Schizosaccharomyces pombe: one gene and its partner. The protein of the gene in region 2 interacts with the protein of the main gene of each other region in a pairwise test. Each region holds a gene or a part of one and is shown on either strand. Other genes may lie near its edges.

The links.
Region 1: the proteins of atg24 (region 2) and ssr1 interact in a two-hybrid assay, tested with the Schizosaccharomyces pombe proteins (one large-scale study listed by BioGRID).

What each region holds. Positions count from the first base shown.
Region 1 is NC_003424.3:3,602,545-3,609,174, reverse strand, and holds ssr1 (SWI/SNF and RSC complex subunit Ssr1), read right to left. Parts: upstream 3,394-6,630; 5' UTR 3,378-3,393; coding exon 1,794-3,377; 3' UTR 1,721-1,793; downstream 1-1,720. Other genes in the region: ghs2 (glucosidase), read left to right, coding at 1-1,346; translocation subcomplex subunit Sec62, read right to left, coding at 4,262-5,083; FYVE tethering component Pep7, read right to left, coding at 5,686-6,630.
Region 2 is NC_003424.3:2,752,863-2,758,659, reverse strand, and holds atg24 (autophagy associated protein Atg24), read right to left. Parts: upstream 4,138-5,797; 5' UTR 3,893-4,137; coding exon 3,761-3,892; exon of another isoform or gene 3,693-3,760; coding exon 3,557-3,692; exon of another isoform or gene 3,469-3,556; coding exon 2,531-3,468; 3' UTR 2,280-2,530; downstream 1-2,279. Other genes in the region: SPOM_SPAC6F6.13C (uncharacterized protein), read left to right, coding at 1-2,162. UniProt on the Schizosaccharomyces pombe protein: Sorting nexin, involved in the separation or division of vacuoles throughout the entire life cycle of the cells.

The sequences.
Region 1 (6,630 bases), 850 kb from region 2:
CCATTCTTACATACACGGGCCATAACTCACTTGCTAGTACTCGTGTTACTGGTATTACAAATCATCAATTTCGGATTTTACGTTTATTACGTTATGGAAGCTTGATAGATCCTGATACCCCCGAAAGTGCTTATACGTTTGATTCTCAGGATTTAGGTACTCTGGATCTTGTTTTTTCTGATGAATTTAATTACCCTGGTCGTGCATTTTATGACGGCGATGACCAATTTTGGTTAGCAACTGACCTTCATTACGCTGCAACTACCGATTATGAATACTACGACGCTGATACGCCCACTACGGCAAACGGAACACTTCGTCTTCGTATGGATGCGTTTTACAATCATGATCTTAATTTCCGTAGCGGCATGGTTACCACCTGGAATAAATTATGCTTTAAGGGTGGTAGAATCGAGGTATCTGCATCCTTAGGAGGCTCCCCTTATATTCCTGGTTTTTGGCCAGGTATTTGGACTATAGGTAATTTGGTTCGTCCAGGATACCTTGCAACATCTGATGGCGTCTGGCCTTATTCTTATAATTCATGTGATGCCGGAATTACTCCTAATCAGTCGGATCCTAGTGGCATTTCATATTTGGGTGGACAACGCTTAAACCAATGTGTTTGTAAGGGTGAAGATCATCCCAATGTTGGTACAGGTCGTGGAGGACCTGAAATTGATGCCTTGGAAGGTACATTCGGCAGTGGTATTCCTTACAATGGATCTATTTACTTGGAAACCATGCCTGTCGTTTCTCAATCAGCACAATATGCTCCTTTCGACCTCTATATGTATCCCAATTACGATTTCGTTACCATCTACAATCAAAGTGTTTCAGCAATGAACGGTTGGGCCGGTGGTGTTTATCAGCAGGCTTTGTCTTGTGCTAGTCAATTAAATAATTCTTGGCTTAGCGGTAATGCTTATCAAAAGTATGGTTTTGATTATAAACCTGGAAGTGGTCCGGATGCGCTTATTTCTTGGTTTGTTGGTGATGAGTATACATGGACAATGCGTCAACCAGCTGTGGGCCAAAACGGAAACATAGCTTCTCGACCTGTTAGTGAAGAACCCATGATCGTCGTCCTTAACTTTGGTATTTCTCCTACTTGGATTTATTTTTATTGGTACGAATTAACGTTTCCTCAAACAATGTATGTGGATTATGTCAGAATTTATCAAGACTCTTCTGATTCCAGTAGCGTGCTTGGTTGTGATCCTGAAGGTTTCCCTACTACTGAATATATTGCGAACCATCCTAAAGCCTACCTAAATTATAATGCAACCAGTTGGTCAGAAGCAGGATATGTTCGCCCCAAAAACTCACTCATGGACGGATGTTGAAAAACTTCATTTTAATGTAAGGATTGCGAAATCCATATTAAGCGGCATTTTGTCTTCATTCTTTATTTCTTTTCATTTACTTTCATAGAGTTTCACATAAACCATTAGTTAGTCCCTTCTTTCTTTTCTCTCAGTTCTTTCATTTGTTGCATAATTTAACATACGACACAAAGGATTTACACAACGTTTGAGCTGACCTTACTTTCAAAATTTGATAACAACTGGTATATACTAGTACGTTAAAATTGTTGCCCTTAGAATGCTATAGCTCTCTAGTCAATCTATCAATCAGCCGAATGTTAAGAGATCAAGCTGAATAGCCCGAACTTGGGCCGCAAAAGTTGAGTAAACTAGATATGTCAAAGACATTAAGATAAGATAAAAAAAAAATTCATTTAAATAAAAGCCTAATAAATTTTTATCCGATAAGCATATTAGTTGAGATTATTAAGAAGGACTCATAGAAGAAGCTGGGATAACAGAAGTTTCAGCGGAGCTTTGAACTGGTAGACCATTTGCGGCAGTATCCTTCGATTGTAGTTGTTGCTCTATTTTTTTGCGGGCATTTTGACACTCTCGTTTCATATACAATTTTTCCCTATAAGTTGCCTGTGCAAAGGCATCTAATTCTTGGGATTTAAGACGAATGTGCTGATCAAGATAATCAAAATGAGATAACTTGGATTCAATTAGCTTAATTTGCACGTTAACAGAATCCTTTATAATAGAAGCCATTTTCTTTTCTTCATTAGTTAGATATAACTCTGATAGACTATCAGAGTCCTCCAATGATTTACCATTCATCTCGACATCATAACTTTCTGACTCTGGTTTGGGATAAACCGATTCACCTTTAACTTTATCCGACTCCTCCTCTTTTGCGCTGCTTTTCTGTGTGAAAGAAGAAGGTGGTACCATTTTGGCTAAGAAAGAGACTACGGATAAAATAGGGTTCTTCCCCTGCAAAGAATCAACCACAGGATTGGTATGCACTTTGTCCATTTTAAATAAAGCTTTGTCGGAAGAAGGAAGATTAAGGAATTTCAAAATACACTCTTCAACACTTTTTGTGTTCACATGAGAAGCAACCTTTGCCCAGTCGTCACTATACATTTCCACTCCCTCTGACAAAAGAACAAGTTCTTGTGCAGTCCATGTATCATCATCTTCAATTTTATTTTGTATTGCGACCTCCTTATAATCAGCAATTGTGGTCGGTGAAGGAAACCGATTTTGTTGGTAGCAACTTATACAAACGTTATATTTTTGGGCCGTTTGAGATTGGTAGTAACTTTCATTAAATTTATTACCGCAACAGTAACAATGCTGTGGAGAATCTGACTGATCAATGTTGTTTTCATGAAGGTTCGAAAGGCTTGGTTTTTGATTCGGAGTTGAACCCTTACCTTTTAAGACATCGTCGAGAGAGGGATCATAAATATTTGTTCGGACAATCGAAGGATCTTCAATGGTAACAGCTTTGGAACGAGGAATTGAAGAAGAGGGAGGTGGAAGAAGTGGTACCAATCCACGAGGAGTATCAGCAAGGATTTGGAAATGACTTGTGGAAGGGGGACCTATTTTCGAAGGCCGAGTATCGGGGTTAACGTTATAGTTGATTAATCCCCATTGCTCTAGAAATCTATGGACACGCAAGACAGCACATACATCACCAGCCAAATTCCTTCGGCAAGCCGTGAAAGTCAAATAAACTTTGGAGTTCAATCGAAAAGTACTAATCATAAAATCTCGGTATTCCTTATATACCTCTGGTGTTTTCGACGTATTTTTTCCATCAAAGAACTCAGGGTTTTGTTTTTTCTCAATTTCGTGAACTTTAGAGAAATCAAACCATTGCGCCCACTCAGGGACTTCTACTTGTGGTAACTGGCTCAACAAAAATTCTTTGGCCTCGTCTCTGACTTCTGGTTCAGTGTCCTCCTTTTTAGAAACATCCAATTCCATTGGCTGAGCAGAATCTGGTACCCCGTTTTCGTGTAAGTCATGTTTATTTTCAGTAACGTTGGACATTGTGGTGTTAGAGTCTAGTATAATATTTACAAAATCCTCAACGCCAAGGGCTTTAAAAGCTTCACGTCAATAAAATGCACTTAATCAACGAAAAATAATATGTATTACCCTATATGATTGAGGGATACCTTGAAAATTCAAGTTTTTTTAAAATGCCCTGCAATTAGTAGGTAGTGGGAGTTGACTTAGAATGACGATGTCTGGTTAACGAAATATACAGCAAACGCACTATACACTAAAGAATTGAGAAAATATTCAATATGGAAAGTAAAATTTATTGATATGAAGTTAAATATCATATGATATGATGACAATTTATACCATGAATATTAGTGAACTTGTAATTATAATCACTCCTATGTGATCAGCCAACTATAGTAAGAATGCACTCCTTGTGTCATGAGGAAATGCTATACTAGCTTTAAAAGGAGAAAAGCAAGCTAAGAATCTAGTAATTTCGCTCAAATGTGTTATAAATTGAGATTAAAAGAATAAGGGAATTATCAAACCACCTACCAGGAGTGGTACATAAATTAAAACGCTTCATATAAATGGGTTAAGCAAGAATTGTGTGTCAATAAGAGTAAATATTCATTGACTGACAAACTTGCCGTAATTAAAATGCGTAACAATAAGAAACACAAAAGAATTTAGTGTCCTCATTTAGTATATACTGATTATATATGTATACGTTTGGGCATAAAATGAGAACGCCAAGGTTTCTTGGAAAACACATTTAGAATCTCAAAGAACCTTTCTCCGAAAACATAGACGAAATAAATTGTATAAGGAGAATTGATAACGTAAAGATATGCACTATTTTTTTTTAAAGTAAGTAATAGTGGCTGAGTGACTGGATTCATCAACGGTACAACAATTAATTTTTATTCAGAGACTTCTTCGACGGTAGGATTTCTGTGCCTTAAATTCTTTAAAGAAGTGGTGGACGTAGAAGACTTTTCAGGAGTTGCAGAAGCAGCTGGTGAAGTGGCTTTTTTTGACAATTTCTTGGATTTCCTTGTCTTCTTTACCTCAGATTTGGAATTGTGCCAACTCCATAAAGGTTTAAAGCTATCACAGAAGCCAACGTCGGCAAGAAGATTGGGGAATAGCCAAATGCCAGGGCGCACGATGACAGCAGTAATGCAAAATAAGAAAAAACGTAAAATAACCAAAACAAAGAATAGACCGATTACTCCAAGGCCTCCCATACTTAAATACCAAGCACCCTTGCGCATAAACATTGGCCACAAGGGGAACAAAACGAGTGCCAATACGACAAGAGCGAACAGTACTGCCAAAGCCATAACGCGTTTTGGAAGAGGCTCGTAGAGCCAAACATAATGCATATCGTCTTGAAAATCTTGATTACGATTTATCTGTAATTCTACAAGCTTCTGCTTTCTTTGTTTAGGGGGGAGTTTATCAACGCGAACCAGCATCGAATTCATAATGAGCAATTTGAGAACTTCGATTGCTTCCTCACGGCTTGAAATTTCTGGAAACCCTTTGTATTTCTTAGGCGTATACGCTTCGGATGTTAAAAAGCGAAGAACACGCTTCACACGAAAGTAGTATACACGTTTTCCATTGAGGATCGCTGGCTTTGTTTTCAGCTCAGGGCGAGACTTGAGGAAGTTTGTAAAGCGCATCGAAAACTTGCACTTGTCTTCATCCTTCAAAACTGGTACATTAGAAGAATCCATAGGCAAAATCCTTGTTTGGAAAAATCTAAAATAATGTGGTTCTGGAGTAGATGAAGTCTGTACACGTCTTTAAGGTAACGATATTTAGGTCACGAGGTAAAGCCAAAATCAAAATTCAGTATTATAGATTTGGGAAAATCTATATTATAAATTTTACATTTAGTTTAATCATTGTTATTATCATGCTGTCGAATATTGATTCATTCTTTAAGTAAATTTGTAAAGTTGGATAGTTCAAAAAGTTAATTCAGTCTTAAATTTTTGTGCCTGTGCCCCATATTCATAACTTAATTATACTATAACACTTGAAAAAAATATTTGATTATTAGGGAGAGTAAAGCACTGATTAAGGAATACTAATCTTCAGAAGTTAACTCTAAAAAAGATGCTCTTCCTATTCAACTTAATTGATAACATTCATTGCTGTTCGACGAGGAAAGCAAAGTCTTCAAATTCATTTCATCAATAAATATTTATCTATACAATTATTCACTCATCCATCATATGACTAACCTTCGCAACACATTAACTAGGAAATTTTGATTACATAAAAGTGAAACAGCATCATTAAACAAGTCAAATTTCCTTTATTGAAAAAATCCTCAAATATCAAAAAGATCCAAGTCATGAATCTTTTCAGTGATTGAATGAATTTCCTCATGCAAAGGTGCAAGACTGGAGAGTAAAGTCTCTACCTCAGAAAACTTTCGTTTCGCTTTAGCATCTTCAATCATATTTTCAACGAGGAAAACTTGCTCCTCTAAAACTATTCTTGTTTGCATCAACTCTTCTTGCTTCTTTTCAACTTGCTCTTTCTTCTTTTCTAGCTCACGTTCAGACTCAGAAGTCCAAGCTTGGCCAACCTGCAAATGGTAAGGAATGGCCTGCAAACGCAATATGGTTTCTTGTAAATATCTTTTTGCTTCATTAACAACATTCTGCTTAAATTGTTCTTCAGCATCATTGGATGAGGGATGATTGGCGATTTTTTTCATAGTTCCATCATATTTCACACATAGCTCAAGAAATTTTTTTCGTCTATCTTTTACTATTTTCAGGGTCGCTTCAGTGATTATTTCACCACTTAGTAATTCAGACAAAGAATCCTCGTAAAGTCGATAGTAATTTACCATAGCCTGTCTAAAAACTTGCAAGTGTTCAATATGTCGGATGTAGCCAAGTGATTTCGATCTTTCCGTTTGATAAAGAACGTTACGGAAATAATTTTGATTGCAACTCATACAGATGAGGAGAGGTTGCGGGTGTTGAGGAAGACTAATCTCTAATACACAGAATCTGCAGATCACGCGTCCGCAAAGCCGACAATGCCGGCGTCTTCTAGTTAGAGTAAAAGAATTGTTGCATTCAGGACAAATTTGTACAACGGAATCATCTTGCCAATGAACGATGCTTTGCTCCAGCCTTTTAGCCTTGTTCAAAAGAAGCGCATCAAGCATCGAGACATTTTCCGATGTCCATAGCTCTTCAAGTTTTTTCATACGTTTGCTTAATCTTAAAAACTCTATTCTTCTTTTATCAGCTAAAGG
Region 2 (5,797 bases):
GCAATTGGCAACCAATGGAAGTTATATCGTTGGAACCAACCCATTTAATCAATGATATCGATGATGATAATGAAATAATAGAAGAAAAGAAAGAAACTGAAAAAGTTGAAGAGAGTGAGCTTGAACCTCGCTACACCCGAGTTTTTCGTGATGAAGACGACGATCAAAAGCATCAGTTAGACAGTGAAGCCATTAAATTATTAGACATTGCTGATCATGGCAACGAAGAAATTAGCATGGATAGTCAATTGGAAATCACTGGCAACATACTCTCTGAAACCGAGAAAATGGCATACGCTGGCGTATGTCGGCTTTTAATTTTAAAAATGGTTGATAAAATTGCATGTTTTACAACTTTGCCATGGTATCGAGGTGAATGTAAGGCCGCATTAGAAGACACCATTATGTGGGCTGACAAAACCACTTCATGCATATATGAACATCTCGGCGTCACAGTAGAGGAACAGAAGATGATAGAAAATCTTCACAAACATTCAGTCCAAATAGATGACTTGTCCAAGATTTTAGTTTCTGCCCATAGAGCTCAAACAGTCAGTAGCCTTGATGCAGTGCTTGTTGACGAAGTTGAGTCCAGCGATAGTCTAAGTAGCCTAGGGAAAGAGAAACCGGTACAAATTGATGTTCGTTGGACTGTGTTGTGTGATCTTTTTCTGGTCCTCATTTCTAAATCGCTTTACGATTGTCGGTCACGTTCTCTACTTATGGCTGTTGGCGAGGTTCTTGACATTAATGAGTTTGATGTTGCAAAGTTTGAAAAACATATTGTTGAAACAATTCAGATTGACGATACCGGCGAATTAGAAGCCGGCTCAAGTGCAAACACTGAAGCGGTCATGAAATTGCGGCGTAAAGTATCAAGGCGTAAAAAGTATATACTAATGGGCCTAGCAGGTATCGGAGGCGGCCTAGTGATCGGTCTCTCTTCTGGATTACTGGCTCCTATTATTAGTGCAGGCATTGGAGCTGCTTTCACCACTGTTGGCTTATCTGGAGTTGCTACGTCTGGTTTTTTAGCCGGGGGTGGTAGTGCTGCTTTAATTACTGCTGGCGGTGCAATTTCAGGAGCTCATATTGGTACAACTGGCATGGCTCATCGAAAAGCCGATGTTAAAACTTTTGAATTTAGACCGCTACATGCACAGAGACGAGCCAATGTCATCGTCACCGTTTCCGGTTGGATGTTAAGTAAAGAAGATGATGTCCGTCTTTCTTTTGCTACACTTGATCCTATCGTGGGTGATATTTATTCTGTTTTTTGGGAGCCCGAAATGCTTGCTTCTGCTGGTCAGACTATGAACATTTTGGCAACAGAAGTGGTTACACAGTCTCTTCAACAGGTATTGGGATCCACCGTCTTAGTTTCTCTAATGGGTGCCTTACAGTGGCCCTTGATATTAACGAAGCTAGGATATCTAATTGACAATCCGTGGAATAATTCTTTAGACCGTGCTAAGGCTACCGGTCAGCTTTTAGCCGATATGCTATGTTATCGGTCCCTTGGCGTCCGCCCAGTCACCTTAGTTGGTTATTCTTTGGGGGCTCGTGTTATTTACTATTGTTTGCGAGAATTAGAGAAAAAAAAAGAGTTTAGCATCATTGAAAATGTATATTTGTTCGGCACCCCTGTTATTTTTAAACGTACTTCTTGGCTTAAAGCTGCATCTGTCGTTTCTGGAAGGTTTGTCAATGGTTACAAAAAGAATGATTGGATCCTTGGCTATCTTTTTCGAGCCACTTCTGGTGGCATTGGGCGAGTTGCGGGTTTGCGTCAAATAGATTGTATTCCGGGGATAGAAAACATCGATGTTACTAATCTTGTCTCGGGACATTTGGCTTATAGAGAATCAATGCCAATTTTATTAGCTGCTGTTGGATTTGAAGTTCTCGATGAAGAAGTGGATTTGGTTTCAGAACCTATTCCCGAACCCTTGAGAGAACGACAATCTCAATTGTTGTATGAAATAGAAGCAGAAGAATGTCAAAATAAGCAAAAGGAGTTGATTGAAAAGTCATTAATGCAAAAAGGCCGCAGTTTGTCTCCTAAAAAATCAAATGCTTTTTTTGATAGCAAGAAAATAAGGGAGGAACTTAAGAAGGTTAAGAAAAAGTACGGATCCTCATTCAATAGTAGATGGTATTAAGATGTTTGAGTGCTATTATCGTGCAAGAATTACCATTAATATGTTTCTAATTTTTTACTATTTGCAATACCGGTTTTTTCATTTTTACGATTCTTATACCCCACTGTTTGTTTTTTCTCTAATTTATTCAATTCATTTTTTATTTTATTTCTTTTCTAATAATAATCATAATAAACTTACAAACAAATACAGACAAAAAAAGTTTCCCGATTATGAAATTGTTGATGATAAAAAAAGTAATCAGCGAAGTCATGCACAATCATTATCATTAATAAATATTTAGAAATTAAAAAAGAAAAGCAGGTCAATGATTCATTAATCGAGACATGATCAAAACAACATATGCTGTGGGGCTTGAGTAAAGTAACCTATTGCTTAACACGTATCCAAAGGTCGCGAATATTTGTAAAAAACTCTACATGAACATTAGCGTAATCGGAAATAGCACTAAGCATCTCGCTTTGACGAACGGAATCAAAAAGCTTAGATTCTTCTCGAACCCTTTGGTTGAAAGCGTCATGAACGGCAGATGCTTCTTGAATAGCTTGCTCAACTGCCTGCAATTCCGATTGTACATGTTCTAAGCGCTTTAATCTAGTATCGTTGTGATCGATACCACGCAAGTCGTCCAGAGTTTTGGATAAACTGAAACCATTAGAGCCGCCAGAAGATATTTTGTCGCGCTCTAAAGAAAGCTTTGCAGAATACTCTTGAAGTGCCTCGACATCCTGCTGTTTTTGATCGCGGCGCTTCAAGAGTTCTTTCAAGGAATGAGCGTAAGATTCAACGTCTTTAATTGTATCCAACAATAAAGTTAATTTTTCTGTAAGATTAGCATACTCTGTGCCAGTTTGTTGCAATGCATTCTGAATGGATTCAATAGGCACATCTAAAGCTTGATCCAAGGATGCCAATCGATCAAACTGAATCGAAACATCCTCATAATCAGATTCTAGAGCCTTCTCTAAACGTAAAAGCTTTTGAATGGATCCTTCCAAATTAGATATTCCAAACATAAACTGTTGCACATGGTCGCGTTGGATATCAAACTCAGTGGGTTCTTCCTTCAGCTTGGAAAACGCATTTAGCAAGGAATCCGAGATTTCGTCCAACTTCGATGTGTTATTCAATTTCGGCTGAATAAAGAATCGAACATAATTATTCCAATTTGGATTTTCTAAAAATGCAATGAAATGAGGCGATTGGTGCAGCACAGGATGAAGAGCACAACGTGTAATATAACGATTCAACAGCTTGGCTCTTCGATTTATGAAATTATCTGAAAACCGACCTCCTTTGATGTATTCTACAAAAAGTGTTAGTGACGAATCATTGAAAAGTCAAAGACATCGGAATCACTGCACTAACGAGTTTCTATTTAATTGCACGCATACCAAGTTTATGTTTAGCGGGAAGAGGAGGGACTACACAATCCTCATTCATTCGTGATAATATTTCTTGAAGCTTCACAAAATCAGAAAAACGACGACGAACCTTGCATTCCGCACGTGTGAAAATCGAAAGATTGGTCTAGTAACATAGAGTAAGCACATTTCCAAAAAATAATTCATCAGTTACTTTTCAAAAATAAGACTTACCTTAGTGATGATTAGATAAGATACATGAGTGTCTCGAGATCCCTGTAGCTCCTTTCTAGGTTCTGTAACTAAACATTGTAGAAAGTGAGTACTATTAGTTGAAGGTTCGTCCAAATTCACAGAATCAGACATGGGATGCTTAAGGATACTTCACAAGTATGATGGAATCAAATAAAAGGCTTAGTACGCCACTTCCAAAGAAGACGAATGTAAAAAATGCAATACGAAGGAAACAATACTAAATCTCAGTCGGTTTTCAGATGAATAAAATACGATTCAATCAAAAATTATTCTAGATGTTTGTAAGTGAATTTAAGTGTGAAATGACTTGAAATAATGATGTGTGTGTATGTGTGCTGGAGAGTTGTTAAGATGTTAGGTGGATTACTGGAATGTGATGGTTAGGTATGAGTACATACACATGATTGTTACTACATTAACTCAACTGGGATTTTTATGCTTCAAAAGGTTTTCCGAAAGATTTATGACAAATTTAGATTAGATTTTTAAAAAAGTTCTGTTCTTCGTACGAAACTGTTATTAGCAACAGTCTACTTTAGATTTACATGATGGTTAAAAAAATCACATTCAGAAAGTCGTCCATTTGCTGTTTCCTAAAGAATCAGCATATAATATAAATATCATTTTTAAATGAGGGTCTGATGGTAATCCAGAAAGCTTTACACATTTAAATAGTACTAGTAAGAAATGCAATTCCCTATTTCAAATTCTGTAGTCATATCGATTTTAGGCTGAAAGTTGAAAAAGAAGAGATTGCCGAACATTTCTTATGAGGAAGGATTTGTACTTTCTTTTTCGACAAAAGATGAGGTTCATATAGTTTAAAGCGTATATGTAGGATTGGGACAATTTTAATGAGCAAGCAACCATCCTTAGGCTTAATAAATTACCTTTCTACGTAAATTGTAGCCCATATCCTCAAAGTTACGAGCTTAGCAAGTCAAACTAACAATCAACCAACGTTGTTTTCCCACTGTACCTTATTTAGCATTCTTCCTAGGTATGTGAAGTACTTGAAAACAAATTGAGGAATGTTAAAATAAAGGAAAGCATACTTATTCAGGCTCTAAGCTTTACAATTAAAAGCCCTATTTTACCCCGTATATTTCAGCCGAAGATTTCTGTAAAAGTTTAAATGAGTGATTAAGTTATACAATTCCATGTATTTCGAGTCGTTGTATTCCGTATAATGCTTACATCTTGTCACTGTTGAATTTATTACTTTTTTGGATAAATTGATTCAAAAGAATGTGCTTCATAATTAGTTTTGTCGCAAAAAATTAAGTTGATTATCCTTTTTATTAAATTCCCTTAAAAGACGAAGCTACATACATATTTCTTCACATTCAATTTCATGTTTGTATGTTCCAAAATAAAATAAATCCAATATAATGGAGAAATAGTTTGCGATAACTTCTTAGCTTTGAAAGGATGATGCAAAAAGACGTAAACAAAATCGACCTTTCAGTCATTTCTAGGAAAATTAGCGCGAAATTTACGCCTTAAATTAAACAAATTTTTCTGGAATAGCTTTTAAAATAATAAAACAATTATTTGAAAGTTTTGCTCTGCTGTAGTGTTTCATAAGTGGATATCCAATAAATCCGATAAATACTCGTTTCATAAAGAGAAATTTGAAACATCTCTTTAAGTAAGCTTCACATGATTTTTCAAAGAGAAATTTAAAGGTCATGCATGAGAAACATTGAATTTCTTTTTTATGAGATAAAAAGTCGGAAAACTTTTGAGAACATACTGTTCGAGAAGACCGTTTTGAGGAAGTAAAAAAAAAGGAAAATCGTTACTTGTAGGGGTAGAAATTGTAGCTTATGCTTTTCCTTAATTTGAAGAGTATTTAGTAAGTTATTCCAATATATGTTTTAGGCAGCATTCAGAAAATAACAGTAGTCAATTTATCTCTTCTTAAAAGAATAAGTCTGTTTATATTTGTTTAAAACTCAGGTAACTATTCGTTTTTCGACAACGCTCAATATCATATATCGCTATCATCTATTA